2 linked regions of the Daphnia pulex genome follow. Each later gene encodes a partner of the first gene's protein in a complex. Links are inferred from orthologs where the notes say so. Each region holds a gene or a part of one and is shown in the gene's direction. Other genes may lie near its edges. The genes, in order: general transcription factor IIF subunit 1-like and DNA-directed RNA polymerase II subunit RPB3-like.

Evidence for each region.
Region 2: general transcription factor IIF subunit 1-like (region 1) and DNA-directed RNA polymerase II subunit RPB3-like share a complex: the UniProt entries of both Homo sapiens proteins name them as parts of the TBP-based Pol II pre-initiation complex. The link is inferred for Daphnia pulex from reciprocal best matches to the Homo sapiens genes GTF2F1 and POLR2C.

What each region holds. Positions count from the first base shown.
Region 1 is NC_060018.1:350,111-354,607, reverse strand, and holds general transcription factor IIF subunit 1-like, read left to right. Parts: upstream 1-1,412; 5' UTR 1,413-1,721; coding exon 1,722-1,739; intron 1,740-1,798; coding exon 1,799-1,834; intron 1,835-1,892; coding exon 1,893-1,966; intron 1,967-2,033; coding exon 2,034-2,311; intron 2,312-2,391; coding exon 2,392-2,691; intron 2,692-2,756; coding exon 2,757-3,003; intron 3,004-3,067; coding exon 3,068-3,327; intron 3,328-3,386; coding exon 3,387-3,462; intron 3,463-3,513; coding exon 3,514-3,714; intron 3,715-3,776; coding exon 3,777-3,984; 3' UTR 3,985-4,144; downstream 4,145-4,497. Other genes in the region: regulator of microtubule dynamics protein 1-like, read right to left, coding at 55-169, 234-371, 433-740, 800-948, 1,010-1,239, 1,303-1,385; uncharacterized protein LOC124188758, read right to left, coding at 4,275-4,412, 4,473-4,497. UniProt on the Homo sapiens protein: TFIIF is a general transcription initiation factor that binds to RNA polymerase II and helps to recruit it to the initiation complex in collaboration with TFIIB. It promotes transcription elongation.
Region 2 is NC_060024.1:10,723,642-10,727,149, reverse strand, and holds DNA-directed RNA polymerase II subunit RPB3-like, read left to right. Parts: upstream 1-1,559; 5' UTR 1,560-1,666; coding exon 1,667-1,752; intron 1,753-1,811; coding exon 1,812-2,158; intron 2,159-2,223; coding exon 2,224-2,286; intron 2,287-2,345; coding exon 2,346-2,492; intron 2,493-2,558; coding exon 2,559-2,740; 3' UTR 2,741-2,811; downstream 2,812-3,508. Other genes in the region: transmembrane protein 170A-like, read right to left, coding at 2,929-3,124, 3,187-3,292, 3,377-3,500. UniProt on the Homo sapiens protein: Core component of RNA polymerase II (Pol II), a DNA-dependent RNA polymerase which synthesizes mRNA precursors and many functional non-coding RNAs using the four ribonucleoside triphosphates as substrates.

The sequences.
Region 1 (4,497 bases):
AACCATTTTTATCAAACAATAAAATGTAGAAAAGGTTAATGCGTTATATGTCACCTCCAAATCTTCTGACGAGGCGATAGCATAATCTCGAGCTCTGGTCAAATAAGCGATAGCTTTTTCTTTATTGTTGAGCCGCAAATATGTTTTCCCCAGCATCAATAAATTCGTACTGAAACGAAACCATTCAAAATGCACAATTATTTAGAAAAATGAAAAATTAAACCAAGCCGTACCTGTAAAAATTCGGCTCAACTTCTTCCGCTCTTAGGAAATACTGCAGTGCCTCTTCGTAAGAAGATACGGGCGGTGTAGCAAACAAGGTTGAGGCAATTTGCCTCTGAAGCCACGGCAATTCAGCAACAGAAAAGCACCTAAAGTTGCACGAAAATGTGTTACGTTACATACAAAAGAAAAGTTGTTATCTTGTCATACCAGTAGCCTAGCAAATGAAATGAAGTTGCATCCTTTGGGTTGAGTTCACACGCTCTTTCTATGTGTTTCTTGACGACAAACGATTGAGAAATGCGCTCCTTTAAGCCCTCGTAGGACGCCTTTTTATCTAACAAAATAAACATCCACTTGTGAGCAGCAAAGTTTTCCGGATCAATGAGCAGCGCCCCTTCAACATAACCGTATGCTTCAAAATCTAATTCTTTTTGTTCAATTGGACTGGACGATAATTTCGCTACTTCATACGTCGCTCGTGCCAGTCGCCAAAGAATTTCGGCATTATCTTCGGCCTAAAAAAAGTTTTTCCAACATTAAAACAGAGACTGACAAATCAGTTTATTCTTATTACCTTGTAGGGCAACAGAAGACTTCTCAATTTGGTGTAGGAATGCTCATTGTACAAGACATCAGCTTCAGAAATAAGATTGGTCTTATTTTCTCTTTCTTCATCAACTTTTACACTAGCAGAGACTGCAGGTAACAAACCCAGCATCCATCCTGCAGATTAACAAGTTATTGATTGTTTTTGTTACATGAATTCAAAAATTAGGCAACTTACCAATGTTTCTTGAAACTAGAGCTGGTTTCTTAGGAACAACATTCAGGAATCTTTTCCTGTACACAACAAATGCATGGTAAACTATTCCATATATTTTTCTCCCAGAGAACGATAACACCATGACGAACGCTTTCCACAACAGAAAGAAAATAAATGACGAAAAACGAATTAGGCAGTTGAGAATAGATAGGTAATCTAATTCCATGGCGACCAAAATTGGAACTAACGAACTTCAATAGTTGAAAAATGAATAATCATTTACTTTACTTGTAATATTACTTAACAATTTAGACCTCTTTATAAAAAAACTTTTTGATTGGCCATTTTTGGATATTTTAATAAGGTAAGTGAGAAATAGCCTTTCACAATTTATCATGTGGTTCAAGGCGGGAAGTCGACAGTGCAGTCTCGACGTGAAAAGAAAAGAACTGAAGCAGACGAAAACTGAACTGGGTCGTCGTCGACTATTTTTCTTCAGTATCGGGTCGGGTATAAAATTCGTTGGCGCTGTTTAAAGTGTCCCAATATTTTTTGGCATAGAAATTTCGATCACCACCCCTTAATTTTGGCCTATAATTTAGTAACGTGCATAGTTGGGTTAGTTATTTACCATTCGTGACGAACTTGTGACGAACACATCGGTGGTGTGTCTCGATCATTGTGTCGCCGGTGAGAAGTTGTTTTGTCAATCGTTTTTCACCGTCACATCATAATGTCTGCTGTTAACAAGGTACAATTTTTTTGTCTTCTCAATCAGTTAATTCAATATTAATACATGTGTTTCTCAAGACTCCTACTGGTGGATCAACTCCTGCTGCTACCAGGGTAAAGACATTTTGGTTTTTAATTAATTAGTTCAACATAATAATATGTGTTACATTAGACTCCAGCTGCTGGTGGATCAGCTCCTGCCGCTGCTGCTTCTAATGTTCAGACTATTGACATTCGAGTCCCCAAGTAAGAATATCAGACATTACCATCTAGATTTTTGCCTTCTTAAACCGAGTTTATAATGTTGTCACAGGAACATAAACAAAAAGCTTGCCATCATGAGATTCAATGGCTCAATGGGTATTGACTTTGTACAATGGAAAGATCCAAAAATGGAAAGGGAAAACAACCAAGTCACATTCAAAGGGTTCAATGAAGATATGCCAAAGTTTGGTGCTGGGAGTGAATATGGCAGAGAGGCTCGTGAGGAAGCTAGACGGAAGAAGTATGGCATAATAAGCAAAAAGTATAATCCTGAAAACCAGCCTTGGATTTTACAACATGGGGGAAAAAGTGGGAAAAAGTTCAGAGGTATACTAAAGTTGGAAACCAAGCTAAGATAGCAATAAGAAAGTTTAGTAATGTGCAATTATATTTATTTTATTAAACAGGAGTAAGAGATGGTGGCATTAATGAAAATGCATCGTACTACGTTTTTACGCAAGCACCAGATGGTGTGTTTGATGCCTTTCCTGTGCAAGAACAATACAGTTTTCAAGCAGTTCAAAATTACAAACCACTGAGTATTGAAGAAGCAGAGGAAGGGTACAACATGAGGAACAAAACATACAACATGTTCAATGTCATGATGAGAAAGAGACTAAGGAAAGACGATGAAGACGCCGAAGAAGAGGGCGAGGAAGAAGGTGAAGGCAAAGGAAAGAAAGGCAAGAAAAAGAAGGGAGCTAAAGGTAGGCAACAAGCAAAAGTTCCACCATAAATAATGTCACAAAATTATAACAACTTTTGCATTCAGATTCTCGTTTTGGTGATGAATTGGACGATATGATGGCATCTTCCGATGACGATTCTAGCGACGGCAATGATGATAACGACGACGATGATGGAGAAAGTAAGAAAAAGAAGAAGAAAGGCAAGAAACCTGTTAAGCCGAAGAAGAAGCGAAAGAATGCGTCCGATGATGAAGCTATCGAAGATAGCGATGATGGTGATGGTGAAGGCAGAGAGTTGGATTACATTTCCTCTTCCGACGATGACGAAAGGTATGTCATTAATCTTGATGCATTTGTCGATTTTCTAACACACCCGCGTTGTTCTTTAATCTAGTGATTTCGAGAAAGAAGAAGCAAAGGACGGACTAAAGGGTGTTGCCGAAGAGGATGCTCTCCGCAAGTTGCTTAACTCGGACGAAGAAGATGAAGACGAAGAAAAGGAGGAAGAAGAAGACAAAGACAAAGAAGAGGAAGATGCTGAAGGTGCCGAAGACCAGCAAGGTGATAAGGCTTCCAAAGACGAAAAAGGCGACAAAAAGAAGAAGAAAGAAAAAAAGAAGAACAAGGATAAAAAGCCCCGCAACGAGGATTATGGTAATATCCATTTAAAAACATCGTGTGTTTGAGTCAAATAATAACGAAACATTTATCAGGATCGTCAAGCGACAGCGGTGCCGAGAGCTCAGCATCCGAACTGGAGAAAGCTAAACCGAGCCCAAAAATGAAACCGTAAGTGCAGTAATTTGGTTTCCTGACAGTTAACTGACAAACTATTTCTAGGGGGAGTGCCAACAGTTCTAGATCAGCTACTCCGACGAAACCTGAAACATCGCCGCCTAAAACAACGCTATCAGATAGCAAGCGAAAGGGAACACCTGCAGTGTCCGATGCTCTTACTGGCCAAGCAACAAAGAAACCTCGATTGGACATGGCATCCGCTGCTTCAGCTGCCTCTGCCGCTTCAGCTGCATCATCATCTAGGTATTTATAAATAATGAACTAAAATTAATCCTGAAACGTTATGTATATTTTTTCTTTTACAGTGCCAATGAAGGAGTCAATGAAGAGTCTGTTAGACGTTATTTATCCCGCAAGCCAATGACAACGACCGAATTGCTTCAGAAGTTCAAAAGCAAGAAAACTGGTTTGTCGTCGGACCAGCTTGTCCATCACATTGCACAAATTTTGAAGAAGATCAACCCCGTGAAGCAGACAATTAAAGGGAAGATGTATTTGTCGATTAAGGCTTAGCGACAATAACGATGATTGGTGTGTTCTGTTTGTGCTGCAATCACTATTGCTACTTTACTGAAATTATCTCAGGCCTTCCCTTTACGGTTTATAAAAACGGACTAGAACGGTTGTTAAAATGCGTGATTTTCGGAACGATTAAACAAATTTGCAGTTGTAAGTTTTGGTATTATTTCAACAAGTTATCTGTTATTGGAAACACTTCACATTTTTAGATGAAAAACAGCCATTGAACTGACAAGTTAACATTTCTTGGTGGTGAGCAAGGTGCTGGATATTCGTTCAGAATACTATAGAGAGAAAACTTGAAGTCGCTTTGACATGTCTGCTTCGTCGTCTGTGCAAGCCCTTTTCGCGTTTTCAATCAAGAATTCAATATCTTTCTGATAATCGGCGGAATATTCGGCGACACTTTCGACGGAGAATTTCTGGACTCGGAAAATAAACATTAAAAGTGTATCAAAAACTACAAACATAAAGTAACCTACATTAGCAGCTTCTTTCATATAATTT
Region 2 (3,508 bases), on another chromosome or scaffold:
CTAATTAGAATAATATTGAGTGGCCGTTCTCTCATCCTCCCCCTTATACCAGTTCCTCCAACTTTATATCTCTATGGCTTTACGTGTGTGTTTAGCATTTCCTTCGAGAAGCCCCCCAGGTAGACACCTATAAACTAAGTATATCGAATGGCAAGGATTTAGCAGCTCCTACTCTCTACCTTTGCCCCAATCGTCCCTCCTCAGCTCAGTCCTTAATATTACATGGCTTTTGACGCGTTTGATGACATAATCTTTGGTTTTTGTATTTTAAAAAGTCAAAGTTTACTGGTGTGTTGGGGGGGGGGGAATATACAGCGGGGGATGTACAATGTTCAAATTACTTTTGATCCCTCGACTCTGTTCGCTTTCCTTTTTTATTCTACGATGAAAATTGATCCCGTTTCGTAGATTTTGAATGATAATTTGAATTCAAAAACTGGACGGCAAGAAACGATATGATTACCTTCGAGTATTGGTTTCCTTCATTTTTCTTTTTCAAGTGAAAAAGAACCGACGTCGATGTGCATAATGCATACAATTTGCATACGGTATTGAAAAAAACAAACAGATACTCATTTGGTATAAATTTAGATTTTTCTTTCTTTTTTTTGAGAAAGAGAGATTGCGGAATTTTGCATTATCCTTACGTAACCTTGGGTTTTTTTAAATTTATGTACATGTCAAAAAATTTCTTTTTTTATGTTTCCTTATATTTCCCACACTTCCGGCTGTACACCACATTTTGATAAAAATAACTTTGGGTTCTCATCATTTAATTATTATGATATGCGTGTAGTTTTTATTTTTTCATTTTTTTTATTTTAATATCATTAGCTGTGTAATATTTCCGTGATGCCAAACATACAACTGTCATCTAGAATGAGATTTTTATTCGTTGATTGAAAAAAAAAAAATTCTTTCTAAACAGTTAACCGCGTTTAGCCAAAGTTTCTTCCAGATTGGGACCCGCGCAATTGGAATGTCGTAATATTGGGTGACGTGTCATCAGATCCTCAATCCATCATGGCGAACTTCCTGTACTTCCTTCGATACCGGTAACTTTTTGGACCTTGGATCGGACGATTCGTTTGACGCCATTTCGTCGCACCTGAACCGAAAAGAATTTCACAAGTTAAAAATCTGAAGAAAGCCAAGTTATGATATCTAAATATAAACAATAACTATTTCAACACTGTATTCAAAAAGTGAATTGCACTTCAAAATAAATATGAACAGTCTGGTGAGTCAATTTACGTTGGTTAAGCCGTTAAAAGCGGCGCACATTCTGATGCGCGATAGGAGAGGAAAACAAAACATGGTTTATATTTCCCAATATTTAGTCGAAACAATTTCTAAATAATGGAAACGGTGTATCGAATTCTTTCATCAAAAAATAAATCTACAAACCAATAATACGCAATCAACATCTTCAACATTAAACTTCCAAAATTTTAGAAAAAATTTCAATTTTTAGAAAAATGAAATTTTCCCGCACAGCCTTCGTAATACCTGCCATCTGGTGACAGAATAAGGAGGTTCTTGTACACGACTCATTGTTTGGGCTAGCTTGTTGCAGACTTGCAGAAGGAAGCGAGAGTCGAAACGAGAAGCCGGCAAGTAATTATTCTTAACGTTTGTTGTTTTGAATAATACAACTTACTTAAGAATGCCCTACGCCAATCAACCAAATCTCAAATTGACCGAACTAACAGAGGAAAATGTTAAATTTCAGATTTCAGACACAGACCTTAGGTATTTACTTAAATTGTTGGTAATGAGAACATTTATATCATGCCTTTATCACATTTCAGTGTAGCAAACTCTCTGAGGCGAGTCTTCATTGCTGAAACCCCTACATTAGCCATTGATTGGGTCCAGTTTGAAGCAAATTCCACTGTCTTGTTTGATGAATTTTTGGCACATCGTGTGGGTCTTATTCCACTGACTAGTGATGACTCTGTTGAAAAGATGCAGTATTCCAGAGACTGCACTTGTCCAGATTTCTGTGTTGATTGCTCAGTGGAGTTCACTTTGGATGTTAAATGTTCTGAGGATGTTACACGCAATGTCACCACTGCTGATCTAAAGAGTACTGATCCAAGAGTGGTTCCAGCTACCTCCAAACGGGATGAAGAGCCACCAGATGACAATGATAATGGTACTGCAGAACATTTCTAAAGTTTGGAATCTGAGTTTGATTATAAATTTTTTTGTTTGTTTTAGAAATTTTAATTGTCAAGCTTCGTAAAGGACAAGAACTCAAAATGCGGGCATATGCCAAGAAAGGTAAATTTTGTTGCAGTTCAATTTGTTTCTCCTTCTTGAAAATATATATTTTTTTTTAGGTTTTGGTAAAGAACATGCAAAATGGAATCCAACAGCTGGAGTGGCCTTTGAGTACGACCCTGATAATTCATTGAGGCATACTTTGTTCCCGAAACCTGAAGAATGGCCAAGGAGTGAATATTCGGAGCTGGGCGAATCAGATCAACGTAATTTTTAAACGAATTTTTATGGTTTAACTAGTTTTATTTGAATTTTTATTTATTTATTTTTAGATGAAGCCCCATACGATCCTGATGGCAAACCTAACAAATTTTTTGTTAACGTGGAATCTTGTGGATCTTTACGACCAGAAAATATTGTCTTAATGGGAATCGCTATTCTCAAGAAGAAACTTTCTGATTTGCAGACCCAATTGAGCCACGAAGTGCAAAACGATGCCCTCGCCATCAACTGATTTTCCATTTTGTTCGAAATAATTGTAATGGTTTTGTATTAATGCAATTAATACACGAAGAATTAAGTAAAGCCGAATATCATCAAACTTATTTAATTTGTCTTATAAGATCTCAGGTGGACATGGAGTAAAAAAGGAACTTATGTAGCACAGCAAAATATGGTGAATATGAAAAATACATTGGTGATCTATAATACTGCAAGAATTCTAGTGAAGCCAAAACAAGCACTGCAGAATGTTTGTCCCACACCCCAAAGTGCAACATGCCATCTAGCCATGACTAGTCCTGAGTTTTCATACACAAATGACACAACTGCGCTTGTCACTGCACCTGTTGTTAGAGGTGTGATAATTCCCATCAAAAGAATTATGATGGAGTAAAACCTATTGCCAAAAGATTATATTTAGTTGTAACAGAATATGTGGAATGCTTAGGTATATTTTACCTTCCAACTGCATGCTTCCTTAATGTCAGAAATGCAATTATGGCAGCAACGGAATGAATGAAGATGGAAGAAAACATTGCCCACAAGAAAACGTTGTACCACATTTCTAGATGTATTGGGCATTGAATATTTTTATTATAGGTAACATGTTTCCTCTAAATTTAATATGTGGGTGAAAAAAAAATAATACCAAAGAACTCTTCAAGAGGAGCATTTGGTTTGTTCCAGATTTTTTCGAGGATGAAATCCATGTTAGAACTAGTTGACTGCGAGCCATCAGCAGATATTGGTGTTTGAATCATAGTGAGCTGCATTTTGCTAT